7 linked regions of the Oryzias latipes genome follow. Each later gene encodes a partner of the first gene's protein in a complex. Links are inferred from orthologs where the notes say so. Each region holds a gene or a part of one and is shown in the gene's direction. Other genes may lie near its edges. The genes, in order: cwc15, cwc27, bud13, cwc22, rbmx2, sf3b5 and ctnnbl1.

Region 1 (4,478 bases):
ATGCTGAGGTCAGAACATAGCTGGCTCTTCCAGCATAGCAATCATTCCAAACACACTAAAAATGAAGCTTTTTTTTTTTAACAAAAAGTTGGTAAAATGTCTGCAAACAGGTGCAGAATTCTAATTGAAAGGCACAGAAAACAAAATATGAAGTTTAAGTTACCAATACTTTGTCCAGTCATTTCACTAGTTAATTATTGTACAAAAATTCCAGAGTTATGCCTGATTTTCATTAAATTATTTATAAATTGATTAATACTTTTGTCATTTCTCAGACATTTCTTAAAACATTGGAGGGGAGGGACAAGTTTGGTGCAATCCAAATATTGTTCAGTATTAAGGGGAAAAGGGGCAAATCATGTTCTCTCTTCTCCCTTTCATTTAAGAGTGTATTTTTGAGCCTAAGAGGTGTTTTAGATTTGTATTTTCACAATTATGTATTGATATATCTTTGGAAAAGAATAAAATAAACTCATCAAACTTAAACAGCAAACACTGAACAAATATAAACCAGTGTTTCTGTAGTTGAAGTTAAAGCCAAAGGCAGCAAAGAGTCCAACGGCACAAATCCAGAGAAACATCCTTTTAAAGAGGAAGGCATATTATCTGAGAAGAACATCTCAAAACCTAAGGATGAAGACTCATCAGGTCTAAAATGGAAAAAGACAGGAATTTTACATCTGTTACAAGTGTTTCAATTATGTTTAATAGAATCTACGTATCAAGACTGTTAAATAAAGTTAAAAATAATGTGTTCAATTTGGAATAAACTATATTTAAAAATCATGTTGTGATGTTAATGTTCACTTTGAGTGGAGAAATTAAGCTACAGGAAGACACTGAACCTGATGCACATTGCCCCATGGTGGCCACGTAAAATGTTTTGCAAACCCTAATCGCACATTTCTACAGTAATTCTACCGGTTACTTCAAAAGAAGAGACAAGATGACTCCTCGTAAACACTTCCTTGTTTACACCAGTGCTCAAAGGTTTTATATGTTTTTCATTTTAAATGTGAGTGTTGGTTTGCTGAAATCAGTAATAGACATTTTTGGCTGTAATGCTTTAGAATTCAACCATGTACCCTGGAATATCACCACAGCATTTTGAAAAAGAAAGGTGTAACAAAGCATTTTTGTGCTAATTCTTTCTCCTTTGGTACAATATAGTAATTTCTTTACGATAAATATCAGATTACATTTGAAATGAGTAATGCATTTTCCAATTCTTTTTAAACGCACCAACAGAATCGTATTCTTGACGCATGCGCAACAGCAATTTCAATCCGGAAGTGACGTTCTATGGTATCCTCTTTCCGCTAGCCGTGTAGTGGAATCGTGAGTATTTTTTCCAAGTCAAAGACGTTTTTTTACAGATGTTTTTTTGTTAAAACGGTATAAATATGATAAATGTAGCCATACATCTCGTTTGATTAGTGTGCAGTGAATCTTAAAACAAATAAGTTTTCTAAAGAGCCCAAAATGAGTTTTTTGTCTTGTCTGAGTGTTAGCATAATCAAATTTGGTGGCTAGTAATACCCTTTATAAGTATTAAAGTCTGTTTAATCGATAAATGTATGTATATGTTTTGTTATATACAACTGATGTTACCTTGTTTGTTCTGCGTTTAAAGTACAGTAGCTAACTGAAAATAACTGTACTCATGTTTGACAAATACCGTGTTGTTGTTGAAGCAGGTTAGGGATGACTACCGCAGCAAGACCAACGTTTGAGCCGGCGAGAGGAGGGAGAGGAAAAGGAGAAGGCGATCTGAGTGCCTTGTCCAAGCAATATTCCAGCCGAGATCTTCCAGGTCACACCAAGATCAAATACAGGTGGTTTTTAGTTCCTATTAAACTCTGCTGCGACAGCTCAGTTGAAAAAGAAAGCGATTGTTTGAAAGAAACATATTTAATCATGTTAAGATTCTCGAAGATTCAATCTGAATTATTTGGGAAATGGTCAAACCGGATTGATTAAATTAGTCTTTTTGTGCTATAATTATTAAAAAGTGGAACATAAATCTACACTTGATTAAATGTCTACATGTATAATGTGTTGGGTACAATTAAGCTAACCTCACGTTGGAGCATCACATGAATCAGTTTATGACATGGGGGGGGGGGGGGGCATGTGTGCATTTTCTTGTCTATTTAGTGTCTCTCCATGACCCTTAAGAAAATGTTAAATAATTTGCTCACAAATATCTTGCATCTAATAAGTCATTGCTCAGTATTAAAATGGTTATCAACTAAATTGTATAACCATAAAGCTTTTGTACATTTGGAGTACATCATTTAGTATTGATAATTCTTGATGGTTTGTTTGCTGCAGGTTATGTTTAAATTGTAGCTACAGTGTGTAGGAGGGGTGGTTTGCATTTACCAATTGTGCAAGTTCTACAAAAAATATTTTTACAATTTTCGCTATATATTTTTTTTTAATATGCATTCAATCTCTCACAGTTGTAGTGTATATGATGGAATCATAGACCTCTCATCTTTTTAAATTAGACAATTTGCTAAATATGTTACTGAGAAATACTTTTTCCCCCAACTGTACATGTTACTATTTATCTCATGAGTGGTTTTTGGAGTTTGTAGTGGGACTTAGTCTTGAAAATGCTATGATCCCTTAGACAGCCCACTCAGGATGCCCCCGAGGAGGTGCGTGCCCGTGATTTCCGTAGGGAACTGGAGGAGAAGGAGCGTGTAGCAGCACGTGAGAAGACCAGAGAGAGGGGACCAAGAGGTTAGTCTCTATCAAAATTTTAGACTTACTGTTTTTGACACACAAGTATAAACCAAGCAAAGTATGTATTTTTCTGTAAATGCAGTCTTTACATTTTTTTCTCTCCAGAACACACTACATCCTCTTCATCATCTTCATCATCATCAAAGAGGCCCAGGTTGGATCAGATTCCAGCTGCTAACCTTGATGCTGATGACCCTCTCACTGATGTAAGTGTCTGCACTGATATAATAAAGAAAACATTTCATCAGTACACCTACGGCTGGGAGATGAGACCTTTTCTCGCTGTTGCACTTGACATGATCTGAATAGATATTGATATTTTAGTGCTATAAAACTTTCTCTTTAAAGACTGTAAATATTAAAATTAGCAATAAAATGCCTGGATTGACTTAATTGGGGAAAAATCACTGTAAAGTTGACTTTTAACAAACAATTTCTTTTGTACAACTTCTCTGCTTTGGACACATTAAACTTGAAACATCCCAGATGGTTCATTTGTGGTTAATTTTAGCTGATCAGACCACCTAAAAGAACAATTGTGGGTAAACTTAAAACTTAGTTTTTTCATTCAAGAAAAAAAATGTACACAAAATTTAAAAAGTGTGGCAAACAAACTTGATTTAAATATGACCGTTGTTCCTCCTCTGGAAAAATTGAGCAGACTGGGGCTCTCCAAATGCCAGGCTGGTGTATTTAAAGGCTAAACTCCCTGCATTGCCTCTTATGGTCGGTCCCACAGTACAGCTCCTGAAGCTGAACCTCATCCACATCTACAGCTACCAGCAACACATCCAGCACTGGTACCTCCAACAAGGTGGCATTAGTTAAACTGATAACTGTAGCTGACTTAAAAGTGTCCAAGTGTGCACACTACAAATAAAGACTGATGTACTCTCTTGTAAATGTCTTTTATTGAGAATACGTCTGAAAATGTCAACTTATTTAAAAGTCATTAAACAGTGGAAAAGAACGTCAGCAGTGCATGGGGGCTGTCACCATTCTGCCATAGTTGTGCTGCATGAGGCCATTGCAGCCTTAATCCTCTCTAAAATCCTTCCTCTTCACAGGATGACGAGGATGAGAACTCTGATGAAGATAGTGATGATGACGACACTGCAGCTCTGTTGGCTGAGCTTGAGAAGATAAAGAAGGAGCGAGCCGAAGAGCAAGAACGCAAAGTAAAACATTTGATCCATTTTGTTTTGGTACCTCTGTGTTTACAGTCAGCAGCATGACTTTGTTCAAACACAATGTTTTAATAATCAAGGAAAAATATGATTCTTGATGTACAAAGCCTTGAAATAGAATCTGTTTCCATTTTACGTAACTCATATTTTCTTGGTTCTTTCTAATTGTTTTTGTTCTCTTTCCATTAAAGGAACGAGAGCAAAAAGCAGAAGAGGAGAGGATTCGAATGGAAAATATCTTAAGCGGAAATCCACTCATAAACTTGGCTGGACAACAACAACAGCAGCAGCAGCAGCAACAACAGCAGCAGCTGGTCCAGAGTACATTCAGGGTGAAGAGAAGGTATATCACACAAAGACTTCTAACTGTACACCTAAGAGGCGACATAACTGCATGACATGATTGTTGAAATTGTAAAATAAACTGCTGATGTTTTTCCAGGTGGGATGATGATGTTGTGTTCAAGAACTGTGCCAAAGGAGTGGACGAGTCCCGGAAGGAGAAACGCTTCGTTAATGACACGCTGCGCTCCGAGT
Region 2 (4,013 bases), on another chromosome or scaffold:
GATTTAATCAGTAAATCTGTGAACTTTCTTAACTGTGTTGCCTGCAATGATGTTTCTGGTCCAGCAGGAGTCAGTATTGAGTGAAACAGTATCATCAACACAGAATCCATACAGTTTGGCTGATGTGTCAACGCTTCACGAGGCCTCATTTACCCATCACTACTGCAGACTGCGTAAGGAGGCTGTAGGTTCAGCGCACGTGAAACGTGCGCGCTCCTTGCGAAGCCGCCTTACGGTCAGAAATGAGGAAAGTAGACAATCAGAGGGTTGTTAGTTTGGACATCCTACAGACACGTATGACATCTCATGCATGCAGCATTCGCGTGCGGTCAGTAAGCGGCCAGTACTCCCCCCCCCCCCCCAACACACACTCACCCGGTGACAATATATAGGTTAGTATCTATAAAAATTGTGTAAGTACACCTAAAATTGTATCTTTTAACATTAATAAAAGAAAAAAGCAATATAAATCCACTTTCAACAAATATTAACTTTATTTAACCACAGAAACCCTGTTATGGTCTAAAACAGAGAAGTAGCTTTAAGTGTCTGAAATTATTCCTTAGTTAAACTAGAAACATTTTGACCAACTGAACCATTTGATGCTGAGAAAAATAATTCAGTCACTAAATGATATTAAATGTAAATTGATTTGAAACATTAACACAGCTGCACCAATTTATTTAACGTTTTTAGTCTGAAGAAATAGATAAAAAAAATTGTGCTGATTTTATTTTTCTAAATGATGGATTGTTTATTTAAGATATCAAGAAGTGCAGCTGTTTTCCTGCATTACCTGCTGTCTTTATGTCAAATACTGACACCAACTAAACCACAGGCAGACAAAGAATACATTGATGGAAAATAAAGACACGTAACAAATATGTCTACAATAGCTCATAAAGAAAGACATTATTAGCATGAGCTGAGTCATCTAAAGGCATGTGATGATCCTGGTGTTGCGTAACCATGCAGCGCTCCGCGTGCACGTTCCACCTGGCAGCCTGAGCCCACTACCCCTCCCCTCTCCTTCTCACACACGCGTGTGACAGGAGACGGGGGCAGCTGCAGGGACGGCAGTTCACAGGTTTCTGTTACAAACTCTGAGATTTAAATAAATATTCAACCGGTTTTTAGTACTTAATTCTTATCTTTTTGGTTTGGCTCGCTTTTATCACAAAAAAATGACTACCGTAATTTCTGGATTATAAGCCGCTACTTCTATCACACGCTTCCAACCCTGCGGCTTCTTCAATGATGCGGCTAATTTATGCATTTTTTCTAACGGCCGCTAAGGGCGCTCGAGCAGAAAGGGTAAGAGTGAGACAGGGGGAATACAGTATATGTGAATGCTTTGTGAATGGATAGCACGAACAGACCCTCATCATGGAAAATGCAAGAAGAAATGCATATGACGCAGCTTTCAAGTTAAAAGCAGTCGTTAAAAAAATCCACCATCACCAACGGGTTTGGAAAAGCCGGTCTGCTGCTGACGGAGAGGACAGCGCACGCTCAGGAGGGAATTTACCTCAGAGTGACACTGACGGAGTGTGGCAAAGAATATCTGACGCTATTCCAATCCAACACTGAGGAGGAAGACTTCCATGGTTTTAGTGCACAGAGGCGCTGCTCTCAGTGACTTTTACCTGTATGTTTTTTTAACCAGCCCTGTCAGTGCTGTTTCTACCATATTGCTGCCGTGTTACTGCAGGCACTGATTGGAAGAGAGCTGTGGCGGACCTCGAGTGCAGCGGCAAAGGAAAGCGATATATACACCGATAGTCATGATGGATTAAATAAAGCATCAGTTCAGAGAAAAAATTCACCTCTTACCGTTTGTTTTTGTCCACATGATGAAGCTAAGGTTTGTTTTAAAGAAGCCAGTGCAGTGATACAGAACATTTAAGCTATAGGCGTGCATTATCACTGTGATAAATCACTTTTTAATTCACGCTCAGCAGAAAATCAGAATCGAGTACAGTGATCCCTCGCTATAACGCGTTTTACTTTTCACGGTTTCGCTACTTCACGGATTTGCATCGTGCATTGTGTTCTGCATTCTGATTGGCTAAAAAGTCACTCCGCTTCTTCTCTACCTGGGCGTCAATAACGTTGCAGTTTAATACACATAGGTAAATCAGCTTGCCAAATTTACAACACGTACGTGCAAATTATCTTGCAATTTTGAGTTTCTCTAAAACCCATAGAAAAAGAGCGACAACTGCCAATCACTATGTTCTTCTCCCGATCAAACACAGCTGCACCGCGGGCTTCAAAAGAAGAAAACACTGCAGAGCGGAGTCAGGATGCAGCGACTCAGTCTGAAGAGCAGTGAAATACACCTGAGTCACTATTTGTCCCACTGTACTTTGTATTTTTTTCATAATCATTTTAAAATTTCTCCTGTTTAATCCAATCCTTTGGGTCGCGGTGGGCGGGGCTAATCTCCGCGATTTGAAGCCTTCTGTTCACATCGATGATTAAAATTATTATTTGACAGTACAGTACAGAAGTTATTTGTTGAAAAAAACTTTCTAAAGTACTTTTATTTAATGCTAGAGCCTGTAAAATGGTTTGTTCTTTCTTTTCAATGTATAATAGAGGATTTAATTGTATAATAATTGTTAAAAGAAAAAAGGTTTCTACTTCACGGATTTTGCCTAAGACAGGTTCTTTTTGGAACGTAACCCCCGCGTAAAACAAGGGTTTACTGTATTCACCCGGACCATGGTATAAAAATTGTTTCACTCACTTTAAATACCGAATTTAGGTTTTTCAGTCACTTTCTTTGGAACAGGTGTATGAAACCATGAAAAGGTCTAAGTGTCATCTGCATAGCTGTGCTGTGTTCTAATATTTTCATACAGAATCTGACTTTAATGCTGTAATGACATTAGAGAACAGTGGGCCTGAAAACAAACCCTGAGGAACTCTGCAGCCACAGGGATCCAGTTTGAATTACCATAGGAACAGTTTTGCTTCCCAGACAAAAACGAATCTCAACATTCCTCTAAAGTATTCTACACACCAAAACAGATTTAGCCTAAGTTTAAGTGCTTAATAATAAACTGCTTTTGTATGAGAACAGCATCGAAATGTTCAAAAAAACTGAAACAAAAGTGTTTTTTTTTTTTACAAACTGTGAGGTTTATCATGAGGAAAAACATGTTAGAAGGTGCTAAAACCAACAACTGACTTTCTTTTTTTCTTCAGACATTAAAGGGAAAAAGCAAAAGCAGCCACGACCTTCTGAAAGACGACCCCCAGCTCAGCTCCGTCCCCGCCGTTGATAAGTAAGCGCCGACGGACGCCGAAGCTTCAGGGTGTTTGTCTGATTGTTCACGTTAAACCCGATTGTTTTATCTTTAAAGGAAGAGGAAAGGGGGGGCTGGAACTGGAGAGGTAAGCTTTAATAATCTAAAAAAAGAAAACGGGTAGATTTGTAAGGATCATTTTCTCTTATTTATCAGTCAGAGGACGATGCAGACAGCGACGTGGACGGTGACGTGGCTGCAGGGGAAGAATACGACTCGGACGGCAAAGAGAAGATGAGAGAGCTCATCAGTAAGAAGTTAAGGAAAGAGAAAAGCGGCGACAAAGCAGCCGAGCACGGAGGAGAGGATGAGGAAAAGGGGAAGACGACGAGCCGCAGGTACGCCGTTCAGCTTCTCTGTTTCTTTTTTTGCCCCTTTAGCCGTAAAAGCAAAGGTTTTTTACGGCAGCTCACGGACTGGTTCGATGTCAGACGAGATTTTCACGGACCGGCCTGCACGAGGCTGAAGTCTGATTGCTTTTTTTCAGCTTCCAGTTTCCCTTTCAAGGGTAAAGTTTATCCTCATTCCCTGTAAAATATCTGCGGTTCATTTAAACTTTATTGTTCACTGGATTTCCTGCAGGAACCATTAAAATGAATCTAGATTTTCCTTTACCCATAACTGTCAAAACGGAGGCTAAAAAGTCAGACGCCGACTTTAGCCTCATCTCACTATTAAAGAAAAAAGGGTCACTAAAAC
Region 3 (4,550 bases), about 2.9 Mb from region 1:
ACAGCTATGAGTTTTCATGGTCCTCGGGAACCAAGGAGGTTTTAATCAACACCAATGTGTCTGGGTCTAAAGCCGAGGCTCAGTTTAATGATAAAAGCCAAGTGGTGGAACTGGAGCCTCACGGCTACAGGATGACCCTGTCTGACTTCAAAGACAAGCTCCCACCCAACACCACCTACATGTGCAAAATATATGGGGAAATGAAACAAATCACAGTGGAGAAAGGTGGGTGGACTGAAGAGCTGAAGGGAATGAGTGTTAACCAAAAGCTGGCAGAATTTTTCGATAGATTTTTGGTGTGCTTCAATAATTTCCCTCTTTACAGATTCCCTGGTGCCATGCTCAGCAGTGAGCGTGTTTCTGCAGAGATCCTGGTTCTTGATTGGCTGCCTGGTCTTTTTCCTTCATCACAATGACAGCTGATGGCACTGAGAAGAGAACAGTCAGGCTTTTGCAGATACTCACTAAGCTAAGCACTTTCGCTTCTGTCACAGAATAGATCTCTCTTCCTTCTGTAAAAAACACTGGTAAATGTTTCCACTGTAGACGATTTAAATGTTTAGGAGCTGAGAGCTGTGAGTACTGAATGTAAATTAACCATTAGTAGAAATGAAAGTGCAGCTTTTTCGTCGAGGGAGACAGTCTAATGGCAGACTAAGAGATGCAGTTGCTGACTTATTAATGAGGTATTATTGATTTTATGTTTTCTTTTCTTTTACATTAAAAAGCACTAATAGTTTTTGTGGCCTTTTCCTCACTGCAAAAGCAGCAAATTGATTGTGTTCTTGTTTGCTTGTTAATAAAAGAAGAGCTCTGTGAATTTGCTTGTAATCATTTCATTTATGATTGAACAAATATAATTGTTTTGTGTGTTTGTTTGTTTTTGTTGTTTTTTTTAAATCATAAATCAAAGAACACTGTTGACAGATAAATACCAGTATTTGGAAATGTCACATTTTCTCAATGGAGCCTAAATGCATTGTCATTCATGGAAATCATACTAGACCAGCAGCTGGTTATTACTGTCTTAGATAAACAATAACCCATGACATTTAATCTGTCTCTACATATTGGACATGACATGTAACAGGGACAATATTTAGGTCTTTTTGTCTCTGTTATAAAAAGCAAGTAGTGACGGCCTATATTTTTGAAAAAGTTTTAGTGTAAAAAAAATGATCGACAAATAAAAAAATAAGAACAAGAATTGAAATCGTATGCAAAGAAGAGTAAAGACTTTTACAATTCAAAAACATTGCTCTCCTGTCTTTCTAGGCATCGGTGTATGACCGACTAAATTTGTGGGTCAATTAGGGAAATCAGGCAATTTTAGCCTTTTTGGTGACAGTCATTATTTGTATGCCAGTCACTGGGTCCCACCACAGACACAGTCTTGCAGCAGATTGTGGCCCAGTAGTTATCATTTTTAACTTCTTTGGAGTCAACTTTATCTTCAATGTATTTATTTATGCATAACAGTAACTTTTTTGTTATAATAATAATAATAATAATAATAATAATAATAATAATAATAATAATAATAATAATAACAATAATAACAATAATAATAATAATAATAATAATAATAATAATAATAATAATAATAATAATAATAATAATAATAATACAGAAACGCGTCTTCTTCCTCGTCGTCTACATTGACCCTTGACGCGACCCGTAGTTTCCCACAATACAAAGATGGCAGCGGTCGGTGGTGGAACCGGACCCGAGCTTTCTAAAGCTGAGTACTTAAAGCGGTATTTATCAGCTGACGACAACCATGGTGCATCTAAAGGAAAAGGCAAGAAGAAACGAAAAAAGCTTCCTGAAACAAGGTGAGTACCGAAATACTGCGCCGTTTGGCTTTCTGTTAGCATCCAAGCTAGTTTCCTTATGCTAAGCTATTTTTGATTTGGAACTTTGTTTCTATGAGTTTAATCGTTTTTATTTTGTGTTACTTCGTTGTTTTTATCTAGACTTAAAATAGTAGACGATGATATTGATTGGAGACAAATGGTCCAACAGCAGCCGGATGTCGAAGAGGATGAAGAGGAAGCTCCGGTGGTGAGTTAGCTAGCAGCCTTGCGTTAGCATTTCCCCCGCAGTACGGTCTACTATGTTTAACTTTTACACGCATGAAAGTCTGATGGCGATATTTGATTTGATGATAATAAAATGTATGTCTTTCTTTTTTGTTAACATTATTGAAATGTAAATCCAGACGTAACACAGGAATTTCATCTGACGTGAGATTGAATTGATCTGCTTTAATGCAGGATAATCGATGCAAGATAGATTTGACACATTGGTTTGAATGAAATATGTGGGAAACTTGCATTGTGTGTGAAGCAGTCAACACAGATGTTTGAACAGAGTAAATAATGATTTGATTTGGTCTATGTTATGTACATTAAAGTTTTAAAGCCAAGGAAACCTAAATTTTGTACTTTGATTTACCTTCTCAGATTGCAGAGTTCATCGATGAGCGGCCAGAAGAGGTGAAACAGATGGAGGCCTTTAGGACCAGTAACAGATGGAAAATAGTTGGGGGTAACTATAAAAGCAGTATATAAATTTGGCTTCTTTTAAATTATGTTGTTTTTCATATTAACTGTGTTGTTCTGTAGCGGATGAAGACGAAGACAAAACAATTGACGAAGAAAATGAGCAGGAGGAGCCTTTAACATCTAAAAAAAGTCGGCATGACTCACCAGAGCTGTCATCGAAAAGTGGGAGACATGGTTCCCCTTTCAAAAAACCAAGACACGACTCTCCAGACATTTCTCCTCCTAGGAGAGGACGCCATGACTCTCCGGATAAATCCCCTCCCAGGAGAGGACGCCATGACTCTCCGGATAAATCCCCTCCCAGGAGAGGACGCCATGACTCTCCGGATAAATCTCCTCCTAGGAGAGGACGCCATGACTCTCCGGATAAATCTCCTCCTAGCAGAGGACGCCATGACTCTCCCAGCAAGTCTCCTTCAAGGCAACATTTAAGGAAGTCTGGGAAAGTTAAAAGTAAAGGTGAGTTTTATTTTACAGTTAAGATTTTCTTTCTTGCTTTTATACAGAACAATGCTCATTTTGCACAAGTCACTGAAAAAGCTGAAAACGGCATACCAATGCCATTTAAGCATTGAATAAGCTTAAAGCTGGAACCTCTTAGATTTTTGGGTTATAGTAGTTACTAAAAATATCAATAGTTATATTGACACAATAAAATGTTTATGTAAAACACATTTATTTTTTTCTATTTCATATTAGGATTACTAGTTTTGCTCTCTGCACTCTAATATATATAGTGCAAACATTCTCTTTGATTCTCAGAGTCTTCTCCCACTAGAAGGAAGCCCAGCTCATCGTTACACGGTAAACCAAGGTCGCCAGATGATCGGCGGTCTCCTTTAGCTCATAAGACTAAGGTTAGGCTGGATTCAGACTCCGATCAATCTCCTCCACGGAAAAAGCAATCGAAGCGAGAAGCTTCCGACTCTGACCAGTCTCCCCCTCGGAGACGCTCCAGAACAAGGCAGAGATCCGATTCCGACCAGTCTCCACCAAGAAAGCACTCGAGGAGTGGAAAGGACTCGGATGGAGATCTGTCACCACCACGGAGACCTGGCCAGTCTCATGTGAGGGATCTGCGCTGTTCAGGGATTCGTGTGAAACCTAATTTGCAGCACAAACCCCATCTAATATTTTTGTGTGTTTTTCAGGACCACAGGATGCTTTCCGGAGGAAAGGCTGGTTTGGTATCTGTGGAGATTCTAAGGGAAGAGCAAAAGGAAAACCGACGCAGAGAAAAAAAGAATCAACCTCTTGAAGGTTGGCCTTGCTTTTGTTTTTCAGTTTTACTTTTAAAAAAAAAGAGAGTTTGAAACAACCCTTTTCTTATCGTATAACTTTAGACTTTCTATATTTCTGAAGTACCGGTATATGAAAGTGTTTTTATACTATTTATACTATTTACGCATCAGATGAATCTCGTAATGCGGAGACGGTCTTCCGAGACAAAAGTGGCAAAAGGAGGGATTTGACCTCAGAAAGGGAGGAGCAGAAGAGAAAAGCAGGAGAAAAGGCTGCAAAAGATGAAAAATATGCCCAGTGGGGTAAAGGGTAAATCCACAAAACCATACCAAGTCACTGAAAATGCTACTTCCACCACATGTAAGAAGACAAGTTATTGTTTGTGTTTAGGCTGGCTCAGAATCAGATGGAGCAGCAGAAGCTGGAGGACGCCCTGCTGGAAGCCCAGAAGCCCTTGGCCCGTCACCGTGACGACGAAGATCTGGACCGCATGTTGAGGGAGCAGGAGAGGGACGGGGATCCCATGGCTGCCATGCTTCGGCGGAAAAAGGAAAAAAGCTCAAAAACACAAGGTTTGAAACATTCTACAAGTTTTTGTACTTTTTTTTTTTTTTTTACTCTTCTGATGGAAAAATTTGGGCATTAGTACTTCAAGTACAGCAAATATCTCAGTTGCAGTTTTACATGATTCATTTAAAATTTTCTTACTGTTTCCAGACAAACCTCGCTACAATGGACCTA
Region 4 (4,013 bases), on another chromosome or scaffold:
CGCTCTTCTCGATCATGTGATAGGTTACAGCTAAAATAAAACCCAGGATCTAGCAAAATGAGTAAAAACAAACGTCTGTGGAAAGTTTCTTTGCCAAGGGGAAAACACCCAGCCTGGGAACAGAAGAGGAGCCTTCCACTTCCAAAAAAAGAAGGCTACATTTAGTAGACAGTACTTCTTTTTTTTTTGCACCATGAATGTGGGAAGGGGAGAGGATGATGACACCTGTACGATGTCATGCGTGTAAAAATAAAAGCTCAGGCTTCGTCTTGCCATGACTCTGGTACTTGTTTATCATGGCATAGCGACCATAATCATCTGTCTACAAGTTTCAAGACGGGTCCTAGGAACCTTTCTGTGACGTCATACCGGTCCGTGGCATTAAAAACGTTGGGGACCACTGTTCTAGAAGACTTCATGATTCCTCCTGCTGAGGATCTGGATGGAGACGCAGATTTCATCTTCCAGCAGGACTTAGACCCCGCCCATATCGCTACAAGCTCCAAAGCCTGGTTTGATGCTCGTCTGGCCTGCCAACTCGATAAACCTAAAGGCCATTGAAAATGTATGGGGTCAAACAAAAAAAGAGCTGACGGCAGCATCAAGAAAATCTGGGCTCCCATAACGCCACAAGCTGATTGCATCAATGTCACAGTGCATCAAGGCAGTTGTTAAGGCTAAGGGATTCCCAACCTAGCAATGAAGATCGACATATCATTTTGAAAATACATTATTTTAATGGATTTCATGTGATCATGACCTCCGTCTTTATCTTCTTGCAAAAGGGGAGATTTCCCCACAGTACCGTATTCAGATTTTCTGAAATCTTGTTTTTGTGGGTTTTATGAGCTGGAACTCCAATTAATCCCCAAACAAATACACTTGAAATCAATTAAATGGTGGGCCCCAAACCTTTACACTATAAAAGTTCAATTTTTTGAAATGAATTATGGAAATTAATACTCTTTTCCATGTAGAAAGTGTCTGTTTTGAATATACTATTTAAGACTCCTTAAAGGAGAAAAAAAGAAGAAAAAACTTCAACTTTTAATGATAATTTTCCACTTGTCTTTCTTAGTTTAAAAAAAGAGTCAACATAAATAAACTATTGAAATTAACTTCTCTGTTTAAATATATTACATTGTGCTGTTAATCCTAAAGACTTGGAAAATCATGTTTTATCTGTCTGGCTTTTCAAAATCAGATGCATCTGGAATTTAAATGTGTGAAGTCTGTCATTAACTTTTTTATTTTGTAAAGGTTTCTTCTTGAATGTCTGAGTGTCCTTATTATATACTTGTCTTAATTCATTTCAAAGCTTTTTTTCTTTTTCTAATGATCAAAATGTCCTCTTTTTTTCTGATGTCACACTATTATCAGTTTAAAGAGTACACTGTGCCCCAGAAAAGCTTTATGTACTGTAGACATTTGCACATCCACTATTTTTACATTGTTGATTTAAAGTCTTCAGGTTTCATGAATGAAAACTGACCACCATTTAGTTTAAACAAACTCGCAGAGAAAGCTGCCAAAAAAGATGCAATATCATTTCCATCTGCCATCATCTGAATCTTAGTTAAGCATTTCTGCCATCATGAGCATCATTTTAATAGATACCTTGACTTTGTGACTAAATACAACATATTTTATCTGATGTTAAATTCTTTTAAATACTACTTGTAATTAATAATTTCAGATTAAAAAAAAATAGCATCTTAATTGAGATTTCAGGCAGAGGGAAATTAGCTTTTTTTTTATTGAAGAAAGGCACCCCAGGATATCTGAGCAAAAACTGGAGTACTGATTGAGACAATAACAAATGAAAGAAGACTTTGTGGCAATGACTGTTTTCTGAGAGACGAGCTCTCCAGTTACCTGCAGGCTCTTATTTAAAGCAGACGGATGTAGACAGACGATGGACTGCAGAGTTGCTTCCGTCACTCAACTGAACTAAAGCTTGGAAGCAAAAAAATGTCTTTTTTTAATCAATAGAAATGGAATATTTGTTTTTTTAGATTGATTTGTAATGGTAACCCAAAAGCTCACATAGTTGCATGATGTGAACAGCTTAAGTTGGCAGTCTTGATTAACTGTCCTATGTTTGTGTCTTTCAGAGACCGGAGTTGAAAGAGCAAGCAAGGTCCAGATCCAGGGAAAAGGACAACTCCAGATCCAGATCCAGATCCAGATCCAAGTCGGGTGAGAAAGACCAACCCCGGTCCAGGGAGAGAGAAAGATCTCAGTCCAGGGGTCGTGATAGATCCAGATCCAGATCAAGATCCAGGGGAAGAGACGGATCGAGGTCCAGAAGACGGGACAGATCCAGGTCCAAATCTAGAGACCGGAACCCAGACCGTTCTAACAGAAGATATTATGCTCGGTAACTGTTAGACACACACCAACACTGTCTGATTTCATCCTATTTCTTTTAAATAGAAGGAAAAACTTCTTTGAATTTCATTAAGCAGCTGTGGATTTATATGTTAGGGTACCCTAGTTTAGAATTATCTTATTTTAAATCAAAGGTTTGTCATAATTATTTTTACTCTTAGATGTTCTTTTTTTTGCTGGATTTATCATTTTTTTCCCCATGTTTATTTGTAGACCTAACTTTTTTTTGGGTCAAAATTATTTTTGTAAAGTCTTTTAACATATTTAAATCCACTCTTTAGAACTAATGTTGAACAGATTGGACGAACGTGAGTCTCAAGAAATCGAACCTTTCACGGGTTTGACACAAAACCTTTTGAATATTTTTGATTTTCAGGGATCGCTACCAGGATCAACGCGACGATAGAAATGGACGCTTTGATTGGCGAGGCAACAGGGATATGGAGTCCGGTGAGAGGAGGCGGGGCCGCTCCGCTTCTCCTTCCAATGACAAGGAGCCAGATTCTGCCGAAAAGCCTCCCGTTAAGAAGAAAAAGGAGGAGATTGATCCGATCCTGACCAGGACCGGGGGTGCTTACATTCCCCCTGCCAAGCTGCGCATGATGCAGCAACAAATCACTGACAAGAGCAGGTGAGACAGAGATTAAGACCTTTTATTTAACTAAAGGTATGAACCCATTCTGGAACTTTCCATTTTAGTGGCAGGTTTTTATCAAGCTATTCACCATTTTTACGTTTTATTAGCAGCTTCAGATCACTTATTATTTCATTTATTTGTCTGTTCAGCAGCTGAAGTCAGTTTATTAGCCAGTTGATTAACTCGTTGCCTGCCTGTACAGCCTGGCCTATCAGAGGATGAGCTGGGAGGCTCTGAAGAAGTCCATCAACGGTTTGATCAACAAAGTCAACGTGTCCAACATCGTCAACATCATCCAGGAGCTCCTACACGAAAATATCGTCAGAGGGAGGTGAGCTTATGGTCAGATAAAAAACACTGCACATAACTTCTGAAAAACCTCAGTAACAACTGAGGCTAATATACGATATTCTGCTTTGAAGAACAGTTTCCGTTGCTTTTATTAAGTCATTTTTATTTATCAAATAATTTAAAAAACTAGAATGTAGGCCTGCAAAATAAATCGCAAATCAATTATTATACAATACGCATATCGCAAAAGACGGCGAAAAATTGCAATAAATGGTTCCCTTCAATGTGCTCAAACAGTCCTATGACACCTTAAAGTATTTAACGAATCAAATAAATCCATTTCTGCATTTGACCTCTCAGATGGACCCTTTACAACATTGACCAATCAGATGGAGGCCTTTTATGTTAGATGTTCGCCTCTTATGTAGGCGGGGGTCATTTGGAGTGTAATTTAAGTTATGTTGACTCTTATTTAAATTAATCTCTTTCAGTGAAATGGAAATTATGTTTTTAGTTGTTTTGCTATATGTTGATTTATCGCAAGTTATATCCTCATCGCAAAACTGATCACTAATATCGCAAATCGCCAGTTTTCCTCATAACGTGCAGCCCTTTTTGAATGTTATTTCTAAGTTTTCCTATAGGAGTCAAACATCTGGACCTGATGTGTGTGTTTTAAGTCCCAAAGCTCCTG
Region 5 (4,468 bases), about 7.5 Mb from region 1:
GCCTGCAGAACAGATAGTGAAGGCCTCTGTAGCTCTGACCCTGCCTGGCAACAAAGGAGAGCTGGAATGTGATTGGTTAAATGTTCCAATGTGAAAATACGTCTGGAAGCAGCATCACCATCATAAACACACTAAAAGAGGAATGGACAGACCATTTGGAATGATTTAATGAGAATGCATGGACGAACTCTAATTAACACATGATTCAGATAATTTTTAGGCCTTCAGAGAAGCCCATCACCATTGAAAATAACAACTTTAAAACACCTGTGTCTGACTGATGCAAAAAATGTACCCCAGATGGGCAAGTACAAGTACCCCTGCTAGAGTAAGTCTGTCCCAAAGGGGAGATCTTTCACTGTATAGCAGAACTGAACTTCAAAGCAGGATGATTTAAACAGAAGCAGGTGAGAGCTGAGAAGGATACAGTCTCTGAAGAGGAGGGGGTCGCCCTTCGAGGACAAGATGAAGAGCTGCCGGATCATCCTGCAGAGGATAGAGGACTGTCGGGGCAACAGTTCACCCCGGTGGGACAGCTAGGGGGAGTTTCAGTGCCACTGCAACATCTGCAGAAACAACATCTGCAGGAACACGTCCAAGTCTGTCTGCAGAACTGCAGTCAAGCCGAAATAAAGGAGAAAACCCCTGTTTATGGGGGAAATGACAAACAAGCAGCATCTCATATTCACTGCATGAAACTAGTTATTATGAGGAAAAAAATAAACTAACAATAAACAATCAGATTGTCTGGTGTGTGCTACTGTAGGTGTGCGTCACACATTAATCTCAAACGTGTTAAAGGTGACACTGAGTAAAGCGGAATAGGGTAAAGACAAGTCGAAGGAAAACTGAATTTACCTGAAAAGATGACACAGTTCAGACGTTTAAACTGAACTTTAAGTGTTTTAAAGCCATGCTAACGTGGAATTACAAATCATTTTCCAGTTCCACGTAAAATCTCCTGCAATGATGTCGACTCTAAGAAAGGGTGTTATTTAAACATTAAAAGCTTGAAAAACACAACACGCTTTAAAACGTCCACTGTCTGGTTTAAGTGTTGCATCCTGTTAAAAATGAACTGTTAGCTTGTTAGCGCCACCTGTCGTGCAGGCGGAAAGATTGGACGCTTGCTTTTTACAGACAGAACATTCAGCATTTCACAATTTCTTACAAAAATAAAATAAATACATTTCTTGTTTATTAAAAGCAGCATTCGGGCAGTGTTAGACGCTTCGCGTTCGCGCAGTTTTCTCGTTCATTTCATCTGTAGTTCGGTCATCCAACCACCAGGCGGCAGCACACGCAGAACCTCCACAGGAAGTGCACCACTTCTCCACGCTTGGTCTTTGGCACCATAACATCGCTGCTGTTCGAGCTCACCATGAAGTAAGTAAACGTTTCCCTCTACAGCCATTACATTAGTTTTTATTTTTCATTTGGTAGAGAATCCCTTTTCTGGTCGTTGGTTTCCTGTTGAGCGGATTCCAGCCGATAGCAGCAGGCTTTATGTTTCGTGTGTGTCGCCTTTTCCCCATTTCCATTCAAATTCTCCACTGTAGAACTTCAAAAACTTCTAAAAACTTCTAAAAAATCAAATTTGATTTTTTTAAACTTAATAGACCAGGTACTGAATAGCCACCTACTGAATTCGTACTTGCGTTTGATTGTATTTGCATTTTAGAGGTGTAACGATTGCATACCAATCAGTGGTTGTTGATGTGATTCAATCATTCGATAATTGTTCGTTTTATCCGATTCAGTGACCTAATGGATCCAGGACATCTTTATCCAAAACATCATCCAGTGTGACTCAGCGAGAAATACCTGCTACTGAAATGTGAAGTTTTCCAGATTCCTTAGATTTCTTCCAAGATAATCAAGTTTAAATTAAATATGTACAAACAAAGAATTAAAATCAAATCCATCCACATTTTAGTTTCCTGAAGTTCAGCCCACTGTTGTTTTTCCACATCCAAAGAATCCAAAGGGAACATTCTAGCACACTGTGTGGTCACATGACTTTCTAAATTCAGTTTTGGACTGGAATGATGGTTGATCAGTTTTTGATGAAATTACATGTTTTTTGTCTGCTGTAATGCACTCTGTTAATTTTGATTGTGTCTGAATTCCTTCAATACTCACTACCTAGGGGGCACTATGTAGTGCACTATATATTGCCCTATATAGTGCACAACATTCACCATGTTGTAGTGCTGTCCGAACCTACAATTTCAAAGTCGAGTGCCCTAGAAATTTCCCAGAAGTCTCTGCGAAAAAGCAGTGTGCATCGAGTGAATATAAACCACAATGCATTGCGTCGAACAGTTTTTGCAATTTTCTTTTTTTATGTTAGGGTGGGAACTTGGGGCACAGCCTTTATGTTATAGTAAAATGACCTCACCAGGTCTCAATCCAAACGGTGGTTTCCAATATCGATTCAATAGGCAGAGCTGAAGGTAGCAGAGATGAAGATGTTGAGGTTCTCTTTGGGAGAGACCAGGATGCATCAGGAATGAGTCCATCAGAGGAGCAGATCATGGTTGATATTTGGGACATGAATGCAGATGGAGATGGTTTGGAGGAGCAGCAGTGATGATGCTGAGGTTACAGAAACCAGGAAAGAGGCCTAGCGGAAGACCACAGAGGAAGTTCATGGATGAAGAGGAGGGCATGAGGGTTGTTGGTGGGGACGATAGAGGAGAGAGCTGGATGATTAATGTAGCAACTAAGAGACAAAGAAGATATGGTTGAAATCTTCATAATGTTCATTATGTTGAGATGGTGCATAAAAAAATAAATTGATGAAACATGAATATTAGAAAGCTGACCTTCAGGTTTATTTCACTTTGTTTAAATGAACAGAATCTTGACTGCTGTCTTCTAAAACACTGAAAGTTTCCTGCCGGTTGATTTGTTTCAGTCCTCTGACGAAGGTGAAGCTGATAAACGAGCTGAACGAGCGCGAGGCCGACCTCGGGGTCAACGAGAAGGTGTCGTGGCACAGCGAGTACCGGGACAGCGCCTGGATCTTTGTGGGTGAGGGGGCGGAGCTTCTCACAGGAACCTGCAGTAAATGAAGCGTGAAAGCAGGTGGTTGACGTCTGTTCTGATCCTGCAGGAGGCTTCCCCTACGAGCTCACAGAGGGGGACCTGCTCTGCGTCTTCTCTCAGTACGTACCCACAGCCTCGCTTTGGGGTGGGGTGGGGGCACACACCGCTTACTGATGTGTCCGTTCAGGTACGGTGAGATCGTCAACGTCAACCTGGTGCGCGACAAGAAGACGGGAAAGTCCAAAGGCTTCTGCTTCATCTGCTACGAGGACCAGCGCAGCACCATCCTGGCTGTGGACAACTTCAATGGCATCAAGGTGAGGCCCCCACCCCCCACCCGGGGCGGCGCCACTGTGAGCATCCTTAATGATGAAGCTCTTTCTCCCCTCCAGATCAAAGGACGCACCATTCGCGTAGACCACGTAAAAAACTACCGCCCCCCCAAAGACGGCGAGGACATCGATGATGTCACCAAACGCTTGAGGGAGGATGGCTGCGCCCCCACGGGCCCTGCCGCCCCCCCGTCCTCCTCTGAGGATGACGAGCAGCTCGTCATACCTGTGAAAAAACCCAAAAAAGGTGAGGTCACTTCCTGTTCTGTCATTTATGAGGGGGAGGGTCAGTTTCACCTGTACTCTTCTGCTGCAGACAAAAAAGAGAAGAAGAAAAAGAAGAAGGAGAAGAAGAAGAGCCGAGCTTCCTCCTCCTCACCTCCCATCCGAGTCAAAGAAGAAAAACGAGACACGGCGTACGACAAGTACGCCACGGGGGGGTCACAGAACGGACACAATGAGACGGAGAGGAGGAGGGAGGAGAAGAGGAGAGACAGAGATGTGGAGAGTAAGAGAGAGACTGAACGAGAGAGGGAGGACAGAAGGAGAGGAGAGAAGAGGAGAGAGGCGGACAAGGAGAGCTCCAGAAGATAGATGGAGGAGTAAAGAGAGGAGAATGATACATTCTCTCCTCAGCAGAAGAGCTCCCCCTGCTGGCTGACATCCTCCTGTAAACAAAGCTTCCATGAGAAGCCTTTTTTTGTACAGATATTTGTAAAGTTTGTCTTAAGTGTTAAAAAACAAGTTTGTCTTCTGGGCGATGATTTAAATAATTGATTTATTAAAAAAAATTCAAACAGCAAATTTGATTCTCTTTTGAAAACGTTTCAGAATTCACTAAAGCTTAAGGAGCATTTAAATAAAGACATTTGGAGAACAGAATTATTTATGTGTATCAAGCCTGAAGGGATCCAGAAAACTTCAGACATTGACTGTTTACAAGAACTGGACTGAGTGACCCCTCCCCCTGGCATTTTACCATTGGTCAGAATGACTATTTGATGCTTTGAACACATTTTGGCTTATCATTTTTTTTTTACTAAATAGTTTTCTCTATTGCAAGTTATAAACTGACCAAATAGATG
Region 6 (4,658 bases), on another chromosome or scaffold:
TTAGGTGTTTTTTCCCCACCGAAAAAGGAGGATTTAAGGGGCAGGGATACCCCGAGTTTAGCTTAGTCTGTTTAGTTTACTTTAGCATTCAGCTGTTATATTTTATCACTGATGTTATGTTTTGTACAATTAGTGAAGCCCATTGAGACACTTGAATTAAAAACATATAATGTGGCTGAGATAATCTCTGATTTTGCAAGTAAAAGTAGTAGACCAACTTCTGTGAGATTCTGTCAACAGAGTTAAAATAGTTTCACTTTTATAGCTGTTAAGATTCTTTTTTTTTTGGTTGATTTGTTTACTGCAAACTCATGACAGTTTGCATATTTTGCCAACAAACCCAATTTTTAGTGCTGCCCAGTAAAGCAGCAGAACATGCATTATTTATAAACTTTAGTGATGTTCTTCCTTTAAAATGGAGCTTCTTTTAAAAAAAAAAAAGGAACGAGGTTGTTCTGTTTCTTATTCTGTGTCATAAATAGCATGAAAGAAATTATAAAATATTGGAATCACTGAAAAATATTGTAACTTTACTTGATTTATGTAGCACATTTAGTAATACTGACGAAGCAGGGTTTTTTGCACACGTGAATACATGGCCACTGGTCACATACTGACATCTGAAAACCATCAGACCATTCCTGTCTAATGTAAAACTTTAATGTAAAAATTTAAAAAAACATTCAACCTCCTGAGAACCGAGGAAAAAAAGTGTCTTACAATTCCTGTTTTTATGTGATTTCCTATCTATTTAGGCCTAGAACACCTAACAATTTTAATTTTTTTAAAAATATTTTTTATTGTAGATAGAAGACAACAGGATGATATTTCTGTGAAAATAGAGATCAATTTGGAAAATCAGAAAAAAGGAGCAGATTAAATCTTTAGAGTGATATTCACCCAAAAAACATTAGATGATCCTCGAAAATATTGTTATCGATGTACTGTGAAAAGTACGAGATTGGACTCCAGTATTCACAAACTTTGGGGTCATCTTGAGCGGGGCGCCCTGCTAGCACAGGTGTAAACCTGTGATGATGTACGTTTAAAAAACACAAAAAAAATCAAGTTAATAAAAAAAGCAGTTTTTTTTTTTTCCATTTAAACATAGTACAAACACTACAATGTTCTAACATGGTCATAAAATGTAAGACATTAGCCTGAAACTAAATAAAACATGCAAGTTAGTCCTGGTCCACAGAGCACGAAGACTTTGCTGCACCTTCTCTGACTCATCAGATTCTCCTGAATTATCATCTTCTTCATCTTCATCATCACCTATCACAGACTGAATCTCACCCTCCTCATCCTTTTCATCATCCGAAAGCTCCAAATATGAATCAACCTTCGACTATCTGGTACAGAATCCTCTCAGCTTCACTTCTTTCACCTAAAAATAATGTGTAGCCATTAAATAGATTAAAATGGTCCTGGTGTCCACTACAGTTGACATTCATTAAATGCCTGCTGTTTTAAAACCGAAAACCTGAAACTGTTTTCAGATCTAAAAATATTGTTCCTAACCTGTTTATGACCAAGAATATATATAATTATCATTGTAAAAAAAAAAAAAAAAAGGAATAGATACAGAATATTTGACTTGCCTTTCACCTTTCCATAAAATGAGGTTTTATATGTCGTTCACTTTGGTGTCCACCTTTACCATCGCGTTAGGAATAAAAAGTCGGAACAAAAAAAACACCGTCTCGGTTTCTCACCGGTTTGTTAAGTCGAAGGCAAACCGGAAGCCAGCTTCTGCTCGTCGCGGTGTGTTCGGACGGACGCAGTTTTTATCATCTTTTTCAAGCTTCACCTGTTTTTCAAACCCGCGCTTTTCAAGTAAGTTGACCTTTTATATGTATATCATCGATGGCCACATGGAAGTTGCACCGCTGGCTACGAGAGAAACTAAAGTTCAGGAGTTTAAATAGGTTATTAGCCGAGACCCAGGCTAATGATATAGGATCAAGCTAACAAAGTAAAATGTAACTTTGTTTTAAAGGGATAGTCGTGCTTTCAAAAACGGTCATATACCATAAATGGTAAATATCTGCAATAAAGTATGACACGATTTTATTTAATTTCTGGTAGTTGTGCATTATATTGATTTTCCTCATGGGAAAATTATCCATTGACTCTCCGAGGAGTCCTTTCCTTAAGACCAGAATTTCTAGCAGTTTAGCTAGGCTAAAAGGTTCAAATCTGCATAGCTGTGAGAAATCCGTCGTTTTCCTGTAATTCTAACAAATCAGTCATGCCTTTGTTTTTAATTTGTCACACTAATTCAAAACTTGTTTCATGTTATTGAAAGGGATGATAATCTAAGAAATACAGAATTTGTTGGTGTGCAAACAACAAAACAAAGCTTTTGTATTTCATTATGTCAAAGTAAACTGCATATGATCTGGAGAAAAGGGACGTAAGAAACATAAGGGGAAAAGTCTGTATTAGACATTCAACTCTACGGTTTATTAATATTTTTGTTTTTACTGAATATTTTATTTTGATGTTTATACACACCACTGCAAAGTATAGTAATTTAATAATTATTCTACTTCTACACTAGTTTAATAATAGACTGGTGAATGGGTATGTGTTCAATGTGTCCTATAAGATTTTTGTGGGGATGCTGGGTAAGTAAAGGATAATAGCTGACAAGGTGTCTTGACAGTTTAAGCTTCCTTGTCGTCCGTTAAAAGACGGATAATGACCTTTGAGGTGTCCATTATCAGAAATTATACCATGGTACGGGTGAATACTCAATTCTGATTGGCTGCTGAGTGTGCATTAAAAAAGTGATAACCGCACGTCTAAAAAAAGAAGTTCCAGTTACATTGCTTAGATGTTCTGTGTCACTGCGCCGGCTTTTTTAAAACAGACATTTGTTTCATCATCTGGATAAAAACAAGCGGTGAGCGGTGAACCTTCATTCTGAACTGATGCTTTAATTTAACATACACCATCATGACGATCAGCTTATTTATGGCTTTTACTGCTGCAGTGGAGGTCGGTGCCAGCTCAGCGTGTTGTCATGTTACGGTAACGTGACAACACGCCACACCATGTTGCAAAAAGTCCGCTTTTTTTGAAAAAAGCAACGTAAACCGAAAAAATAACAAGAATAAATGACTAAAAACTGATTGAAAATGTATTTGTTTTGTAAGTGACCATGGTAAAAGCAGGATAATCAACGCACTAATAATCAACGGAAGCATCGGGCAGTTTGGGTTTCCACGGCGTGCGTTAATTTCTGGCAACGTATACTTTGTTGGTGACTATCCCTTACTTAATCCCCACTCAGCAGCCAATCAGAATGGAGCATTCACCTGGACCATGGTATAACTGACATTCATTGATATATTTGAAGTTTAGCAGTTGGATGTGGTAATCTTTACTTTCAGATGCTCCCCACTCATTGGAGAGACACATAATAGAATTTTATAGGCTTGTGAAGTGTATTTACCATTAGCCATGTTTATAACATTTGCTTCTTAAAGGTTTAATTTATTTACATGTACCACCATATAATATAAAAAAGGCATTATTTTGAGTTTTTTTTTCCTTCAAATTATTTTGTTTTTATCTTTGAATTGTAATTTTCCTCACAAATGTCACAAGAATAACTAAAACCTTCTTGTTTATGAGTTTATCTGACTGGATCGTCTGTTTGCTGAAGCACAATTCAAATCTCTGATTTACTTTCTTTCTCCCAGAGCCTGTTGACTGATCTCAGAGAGAATGACTGACCGATACAATATCCACAGTCAGCTGGAGCATCTCCAGTCCAAGTACATCGGAACAGGGCATGCTGACACTACCAAATGGGAATGGCTGGTGAACCAGCACCGTGACTCTTATTGCTCCTACATGGGTCATTTTGACCTGCTCAACTACTTTTCCATCGCTGAAAATGAAAGCAAAGCTCGTGTTCGCTTCAACTTGATGGAGAAGATGCTTCAGCCATGTGGACCACCTGCAGACAAACCCGATGATGCATAAAACACAGCCCAACCAACTGCTGCAGCTTTTTTTCCCTCTTACCTTTTCTTTTTTTCAGTTTTGGACGGTTGTTTGTTTCTAACCTTGAGGTCAGAGCAGCCAGTAAAATCTGGTATTCATGTGTTCACTGAAGCTATTCTCACTTGTTTGATCGGTGAATACATTAACTGTAGTGCTTTCAGGAAACGAATGAGAATGACGACACCTGAACTTATCCATTTCAGAAAATGTTAAAAATGTCCAATATGTGCACAATGTTGAACTGTTGTATTTCTAATGAAAACATTATTTTTCCTTTGGTTAAGCTCTTTCACTGATCATTTTATTCTGGAAATATGTCAGTTTTCTAAAACGCATTTAAAAAAGTGAGAACGTTTAAATGAATAAATCATCCAAACAAGACGTTTTATTGTAAAAAGAAAAAGACCAAAGTCATCCTTAGGACTTTGTTGAAGGAGCAGCAATGGCTATAGCAGTGGTTTTGTTTTTGCTTAAAATATATGATTTTGTTTTTTACTTTTTACAAATGCCTTCAAAAATAATGCATCTTTAGATTGAATATTTGCCAATTGTGTTTACCTATAATAAACGTCTTAGTTACAAGTACTGTTTTGTTGTGCAGGCTTTAGTCAGACACAAATTTTAATTTTTTTTTGCCC
Region 7 (4,013 bases), on another chromosome or scaffold:
GTCACTTTGATGATTTTCCCAGAGGGAGGAAAATGATCTCAGATGAAGGAAGATGCCACACAAAACCAAATATCAATTAAAAGATGATATGAATGCATAGAAGCTAAAGCGTAAGTTAAAATCACAGTAAAACTGAAGGGAAATGTTTTATTTTTTACACAGAAAATATTCAGGGATTTTAGTTGTGTTCATCTTTTTAATTAGTCTGTTGATCCTAATCTGTCAGTCAAGCTGTTTTAAACTTTCATTTTTAATTAAGCGAACAAAAAGTTGGAATAGGTTTTTCATGCTTAAAATATAAATGTTGGACATTTTTAAAGTCTCTTACTATTGCATTAGATTTTAACATTTTCCTTGCAGGATTGCATCATTTGGAAAACGGGCCTTTGCTTGTTCACATGACCAGTAATGCCTGCTGGGGGGGGGAATCCTTCTTTTTTATTTTCTTTAAAAAAAGGCTTTTGTGTATTTGCCATCCTGTGCTGCAGAGAAACCCAGAAATGGAAACGGGGGGAGTAATTGAGTTGTCTGTGGCCATGTCAGAAATGTCTGTGGTTCTGTGTTGCAGAGATGGCTGCAGGCCGTCATGAGCTTCATGTAAAGTAAACGGCTCCTCTAGAGAAGCAAGAGAAACTGCAGAAAATAAAAGCGGCTGCTTTGTCTTTCGTCTTCCTCGGGGGGTGACATGTATGTAGTGTCTTCTTTGTGTTTCATGCAGATGTAAAACCTGCATTTTGGTGAATTTGAATTGTAAGATCTGTGCGGCTTTGCCAAAAGCTGCTACTTCCCCTCCCTGCAAAACGATAAGCCCAGTTGTTGTCCTGGAAACTGAGATTATCTCTTTTTTTTCTAGAGGGGGGAGAGGAAACACATACTGAATTCAAATGGAAGAGTTTCAAGTTTTTTTCCACGCTTGTCAGACAAAAAGGCTGAGCTCTGGGACTGTTTTACAAAGTGATAGCTGTCCTCTTCAAAATAAAACCAGCCAGTGGACACTGACAACATGAATTGTATGGCCTGCAGGGGCTACCGTCTGTCGCCGCCCCCTTTGTGACCCGCCCTCATTAGCGGGGCGGCTGATATAAGTGCCCCTCACATTCCGCCTCTGCCCCTGCAACCCTGGCCAGAGCTGCTCAAGACAAATTCTTGAAGAAGAGAACATTTTCCATGGAAGCTTTTCTGTTTGTTTTATCTCTATGGCAACCATTTTGGGTAACGAACAGGTCTACGTAATTTGTAGAACAATCGGCTAAAGTGAATTGTTGGGAGGAGTTTAAATTTGTAGAAGCTACTTAAAGTTTTTTTTTCTTTTTTGGTTAAAAAAAATCAAGATGGCAGCCTCCTCCTGAGGTCAAAGGTCACCTCAGCTGGGATTGTTACCCTGGCGACATGTGTGTGAATTTTTTAAATGTAAATCGCCCAAACAAAACAAATCTTTTACCATATTATGGGAAAACTTCACACTTTGCCACAATTTGGATGCCAAGCTGTGGGCTCTGTGGCCATCCCATAATATTTTCAATACTTTCCCTCCAAGGCGCAGTAAGACAGAATTGCAAAAACAATCAGGGAGGCTGCGGGACAGAATAAACGCGTCAGACCATCATCTGCACGTTTGGTTTTTGTAATAATATAAATTCATTTAGATATATTATGCCTTTGCTTTGTAAATCTAAATGTTTGCAGAATCAAAGATGCAGGTGAAAAGGTGAAAAAAATCGCAGTGACACGTTTGATTCCCGCCCAAACTGCCTTCGTGGTCGGCGTTTTGTGCTTCTCCCCGTCCACCTTCACACTCCCCTCTGAATCTCTAATGATGATTAATGCGGCGCTGTGTGCTTATTGGCAGCGTTGTGTTATTGGCATACTGTCCAGACTCCTAAGATGAATATGTACGCGAGTGAGCAAACGTATGTGTTGTGTTGGAGTCTTTTCTTTTTTCAGCTTCTCGCCGGAATCGATACCTTTTGCGTGGCAGGTCACTGGAGAAAAAGGATTTTTTTGAAAAGGCTGATTAACGGCACATTGATTGAACTTTGCATCAGATTCCCTGCAGCTGACATCTCCGTGTGTGTGTGTTTGTGTGTGTGCGTGCACATGGTGAATGTGCAGGAGATGGTTCAGCGTGGAGAAATCCTGGACGACAGCATGGAGGACGAGTTCTACTTTCGCCGTTTGGATGCAGGATTATTTGTCCTTCAGTTAATCTGCTATATTATGGTGGAGATCAGCAACTCTGGGATTTCACAGGTACACACACACACACACACACACACAGGCTGGGTTTGTAACGAGTTTTAAGAACAATCAATTATCATTAAGGCATTTGATCAGGGAAGCCATGGAAGCAGGCAGGAGGCAGATGTTTCTATAGGAGCTGCAGATCTGACTGGTTCTGCTGCTGTTCCACATACATCACAATCTGTTTACTTTGTTTTTTAAGCACTAATATTAAAGTTATAACTGTCTTATTCGCTCTTGGTCGTGCTTTCCTTCTTTTATAAGAGTAATTGATCATTATTTTCTAATTGCTAAACTGCAATGAGGTTTTGTTGGAAATATTCCATCAGATAAAACTGTAAATTGTACTTGTGATGAACTGAAAAATAACAAATGGGTTTATGCGTATTAAAGTGAACTTGTGCTGTCCAACAGCTGAGACATATAAGAGGTGAAGGCCTCTTGTGTTGGACAGATTGTAACTTTACAACATGGGGTTATGTATCTTCTGACACACGAGGTGTATATTTGTATAAACCCCCCATTTGTAACTTAGCCTAAAGTTTTTTTTTTTATATACATTATATTTGTTTCCGTTTTTGCCGGAAGTTTATAATCATTTCTGTCAGGTGCAGGTGTTAGTCTAAAAGGGGCGGGGCCTGTCCACACACACTCTCAAATGTTACCTGTTGGCACAAAAACATCTTCACAGTCAAAAATGTCAGCATGTACACAGTACAACTACCGTTTACACACGCATACTTGTGCTGAAATACTTTAAGATATATTTAATGTAATACTGAAACCTCTTCTGAAAGGAGATGAATTTTTCTACAAATTTCTCATCCTGATACTAATATAAAGGCTCTAAATGCACTTCTCTTCCAAGGCAAACTAAAGAATTTACTTATTTAATTATCTCCTCCTTAAATAATGTTAAATGTGTGTGCAGAACACTGGATTTGGTGAAATTGTCCGTAGATTTCTTCACTAAATTGTCACTAAAGAGTTGCTATTCTTTACATTTTTTACTTTTCCATCAATACATATAGAAGTACACTTGAGAAATTTGCAAAAAGAGCCTGTTTTGTTCCAAATCCTGGTTTTGATGAGTGTTTTTTCTTGGCTTTCAGCTTCAGCAGAGAGTGCATCAGATTCTCAATCTCAGAGGAGGCTCTGTCAAAGTTGTTCGCCACATCATGAGAGGTACGTGACTTCTTCCTTCACCCAGTTCAAAGCAAATTCAGGTCCGTGCCGGAATTTGCTTTCCAGAAGTGGCTGTTGTACAGCAGAATAACAGAAGACCAGCAAAGCGGGTTGAGCCTTTGTAAATGAAACGCTGGAGACCTTAGACTTGTACCTCGTTTGTGAGTCGGCTCTTAAATACACAGCAGCCTGTGGCTGTTGGGACACTTCCCACACACTTCCCACACAACACGTCAGTCATGTGACAGGGTTTGACGTTTCTACTAGATATAAAATGCAGATGGAGAAATGATATAGATATAAATAAACACAGCACACCTCAGGATCTAAAACGTTGTTTTTGTTTTTTAAAAGACTAAATCTATGGTTTGTGTTGTAATCAGTGTCCCACCATATGTTGTCATTTCCACTCGGCCAAAGATTTCCCGTGCCGCCGTCTCTCGTTGTTTTTCTCAGACAGAGCAGATGTGTTGTTCCCATTCTTGTGCGACATCCATCCTCCTGGTTTTACCGTTGGTTGTAGCTGGAGGGCGGGGGCTCTGAACACACGCCCTCCAGCTCCGGCTGGCATGGAACGCCTCAGATAG

The links.
Region 2: cwc15 (region 1) and cwc27 share a complex: the UniProt entries of both Homo sapiens proteins name them as parts of the minor spliceosome. The link is inferred for Oryzias latipes from reciprocal best matches to the Homo sapiens genes CWC15 and CWC27.
Region 3: cwc15 (region 1) and bud13 share a complex: the UniProt entries of both Homo sapiens proteins name them as parts of the minor spliceosome. The link is inferred for Oryzias latipes from reciprocal best matches to the Homo sapiens genes CWC15 and BUD13.
Region 4: cwc15 (region 1) and cwc22 share a complex: the UniProt entries of both Homo sapiens proteins name them as parts of the minor spliceosome. The link is inferred for Oryzias latipes from reciprocal best matches to the Homo sapiens genes CWC15 and CWC22.
Region 5: cwc15 (region 1) and rbmx2 share a complex: the UniProt entries of both Homo sapiens proteins name them as parts of the minor spliceosome. The link is inferred for Oryzias latipes from reciprocal best matches to the Homo sapiens genes CWC15 and RBMX2.
Region 6: cwc15 (region 1) and sf3b5 share a complex: the UniProt entries of both Homo sapiens proteins name them as parts of the minor spliceosome. The link is inferred for Oryzias latipes from reciprocal best matches to the Homo sapiens genes CWC15 and SF3B5.
Region 7: cwc15 (region 1) and ctnnbl1 share a complex: the UniProt entries of both Homo sapiens proteins name them as parts of the PRP19-CDC5L splicing complex. The link is inferred for Oryzias latipes from reciprocal best matches to the Homo sapiens genes CWC15 and CTNNBL1.

The regions. Positions count from the first base shown.
Region 1 is NC_019872.2:16,000,325-16,004,802, reverse strand, and holds the start of cwc15 (spliceosome-associated protein CWC15 homolog), read left to right. Parts: upstream 1-1,238; 5' UTR 1,239-1,338; intron 1,339-1,694; exon of another isoform or gene 1,695-1,697; 5' UTR 1,698-1,704; coding exon 1,705-1,835; intron 1,836-2,638; coding exon 2,639-2,751; intron 2,752-2,859; coding exon 2,860-2,960; intron 2,961-3,821; coding exon 3,822-3,932; intron 3,933-4,132; coding exon 4,133-4,284; intron 4,285-4,383; coding exon 4,384-4,478. UniProt on the Homo sapiens protein: Involved in pre-mRNA splicing as component of the spliceosome. Component of the PRP19-CDC5L complex that forms an integral part of the spliceosome and is required for activating pre-mRNA splicing.
Region 2 is NC_019870.2:3,041,778-3,045,790, reverse strand, and holds part of cwc27 (peptidyl-prolyl cis-trans isomerase CWC27 homolog), read left to right. Parts: intron 1-3,213; coding exon 3,214-3,293; intron 3,294-3,371; coding exon 3,372-3,402; intron 3,403-3,470; coding exon 3,471-3,652; intron 3,653-4,013. UniProt on the Homo sapiens protein: As part of the spliceosome, plays a role in pre-mRNA splicing. Probable inactive PPIase with no peptidyl-prolyl cis-trans isomerase activity. As a component of the minor spliceosome, involved in the splicing of U12-type introns in pre-mRNAs.
Region 3 is NC_019872.2:13,069,958-13,074,507, reverse strand, and holds the start of bud13 (BUD13 homolog), read left to right. Parts: upstream 1-1,669; 5' UTR 1,670-1,698; coding exon 1,699-1,835; intron 1,836-1,976; coding exon 1,977-2,064; intron 2,065-2,465; coding exon 2,466-2,550; intron 2,551-2,627; coding exon 2,628-3,026; intron 3,027-3,329; coding exon 3,330-3,634; intron 3,635-3,718; coding exon 3,719-3,827; intron 3,828-3,979; coding exon 3,980-4,118; intron 4,119-4,199; coding exon 4,200-4,381; intron 4,382-4,526; coding exon 4,527-4,550. Other genes in the region: uncharacterized protein LOC101171185, read left to right, coding at 1-225, 326-423. UniProt on the Homo sapiens protein: Involved in pre-mRNA splicing as component of the activated spliceosome. As a component of the minor spliceosome, involved in the splicing of U12-type introns in pre-mRNAs.
Region 4 is NC_019879.2:6,699,871-6,703,883, reverse strand, and holds part of cwc22 (pre-mRNA-splicing factor CWC22 homolog), read left to right. Parts: intron 1-2,114; coding exon 2,115-2,380; intron 2,381-2,767; coding exon 2,768-3,022; intron 3,023-3,230; coding exon 3,231-3,359; intron 3,360-4,013. UniProt on the Homo sapiens protein: Required for pre-mRNA splicing as component of the spliceosome. As a component of the minor spliceosome, involved in the splicing of U12-type introns in pre-mRNAs. Promotes exon-junction complex (EJC) assembly.
Region 5 is NC_019872.2:23,468,173-23,472,640, forward strand, and holds rbmx2 (RNA-binding motif protein, X-linked 2), read left to right. Parts: upstream 1-1,278; 5' UTR 1,279-1,381; coding exon 1,382-1,386; intron 1,387-2,920; coding exon 2,921-3,036; intron 3,037-3,118; coding exon 3,119-3,170; intron 3,171-3,238; coding exon 3,239-3,368; intron 3,369-3,443; coding exon 3,444-3,630; intron 3,631-3,699; coding exon 3,700-3,977; 3' UTR 3,978-4,187; downstream 4,188-4,468. Other genes in the region: ap4m1 (AP-4 complex subunit mu-1), read right to left, coding at 428-485. UniProt on the Homo sapiens protein: Involved in pre-mRNA splicing as component of the activated spliceosome. As a component of the minor spliceosome, involved in the splicing of U12-type introns in pre-mRNAs.
Region 6 is NC_019873.2:17,221,467-17,226,124, reverse strand, and holds sf3b5 (splicing factor 3B subunit 5), read left to right. Parts: upstream 1-1,714; 5' UTR 1,715-1,839; intron 1,840-3,713; 5' UTR 3,714-3,738; coding exon 3,739-3,999; 3' UTR 4,000-4,605; downstream 4,606-4,658. UniProt on the Homo sapiens protein: Component of the 17S U2 SnRNP complex of the spliceosome, a large ribonucleoprotein complex that removes introns from transcribed pre-mRNAs.
Region 7 is NC_019865.2:1,883,213-1,887,225, reverse strand, and holds part of ctnnbl1 (beta-catenin-like protein 1), read left to right. Parts: intron 1-2,112; coding exon 2,113-2,250; intron 2,251-3,353; coding exon 3,354-3,426; intron 3,427-4,013. UniProt on the Homo sapiens protein: Component of the PRP19-CDC5L complex that forms an integral part of the spliceosome and is required for activating pre-mRNA splicing.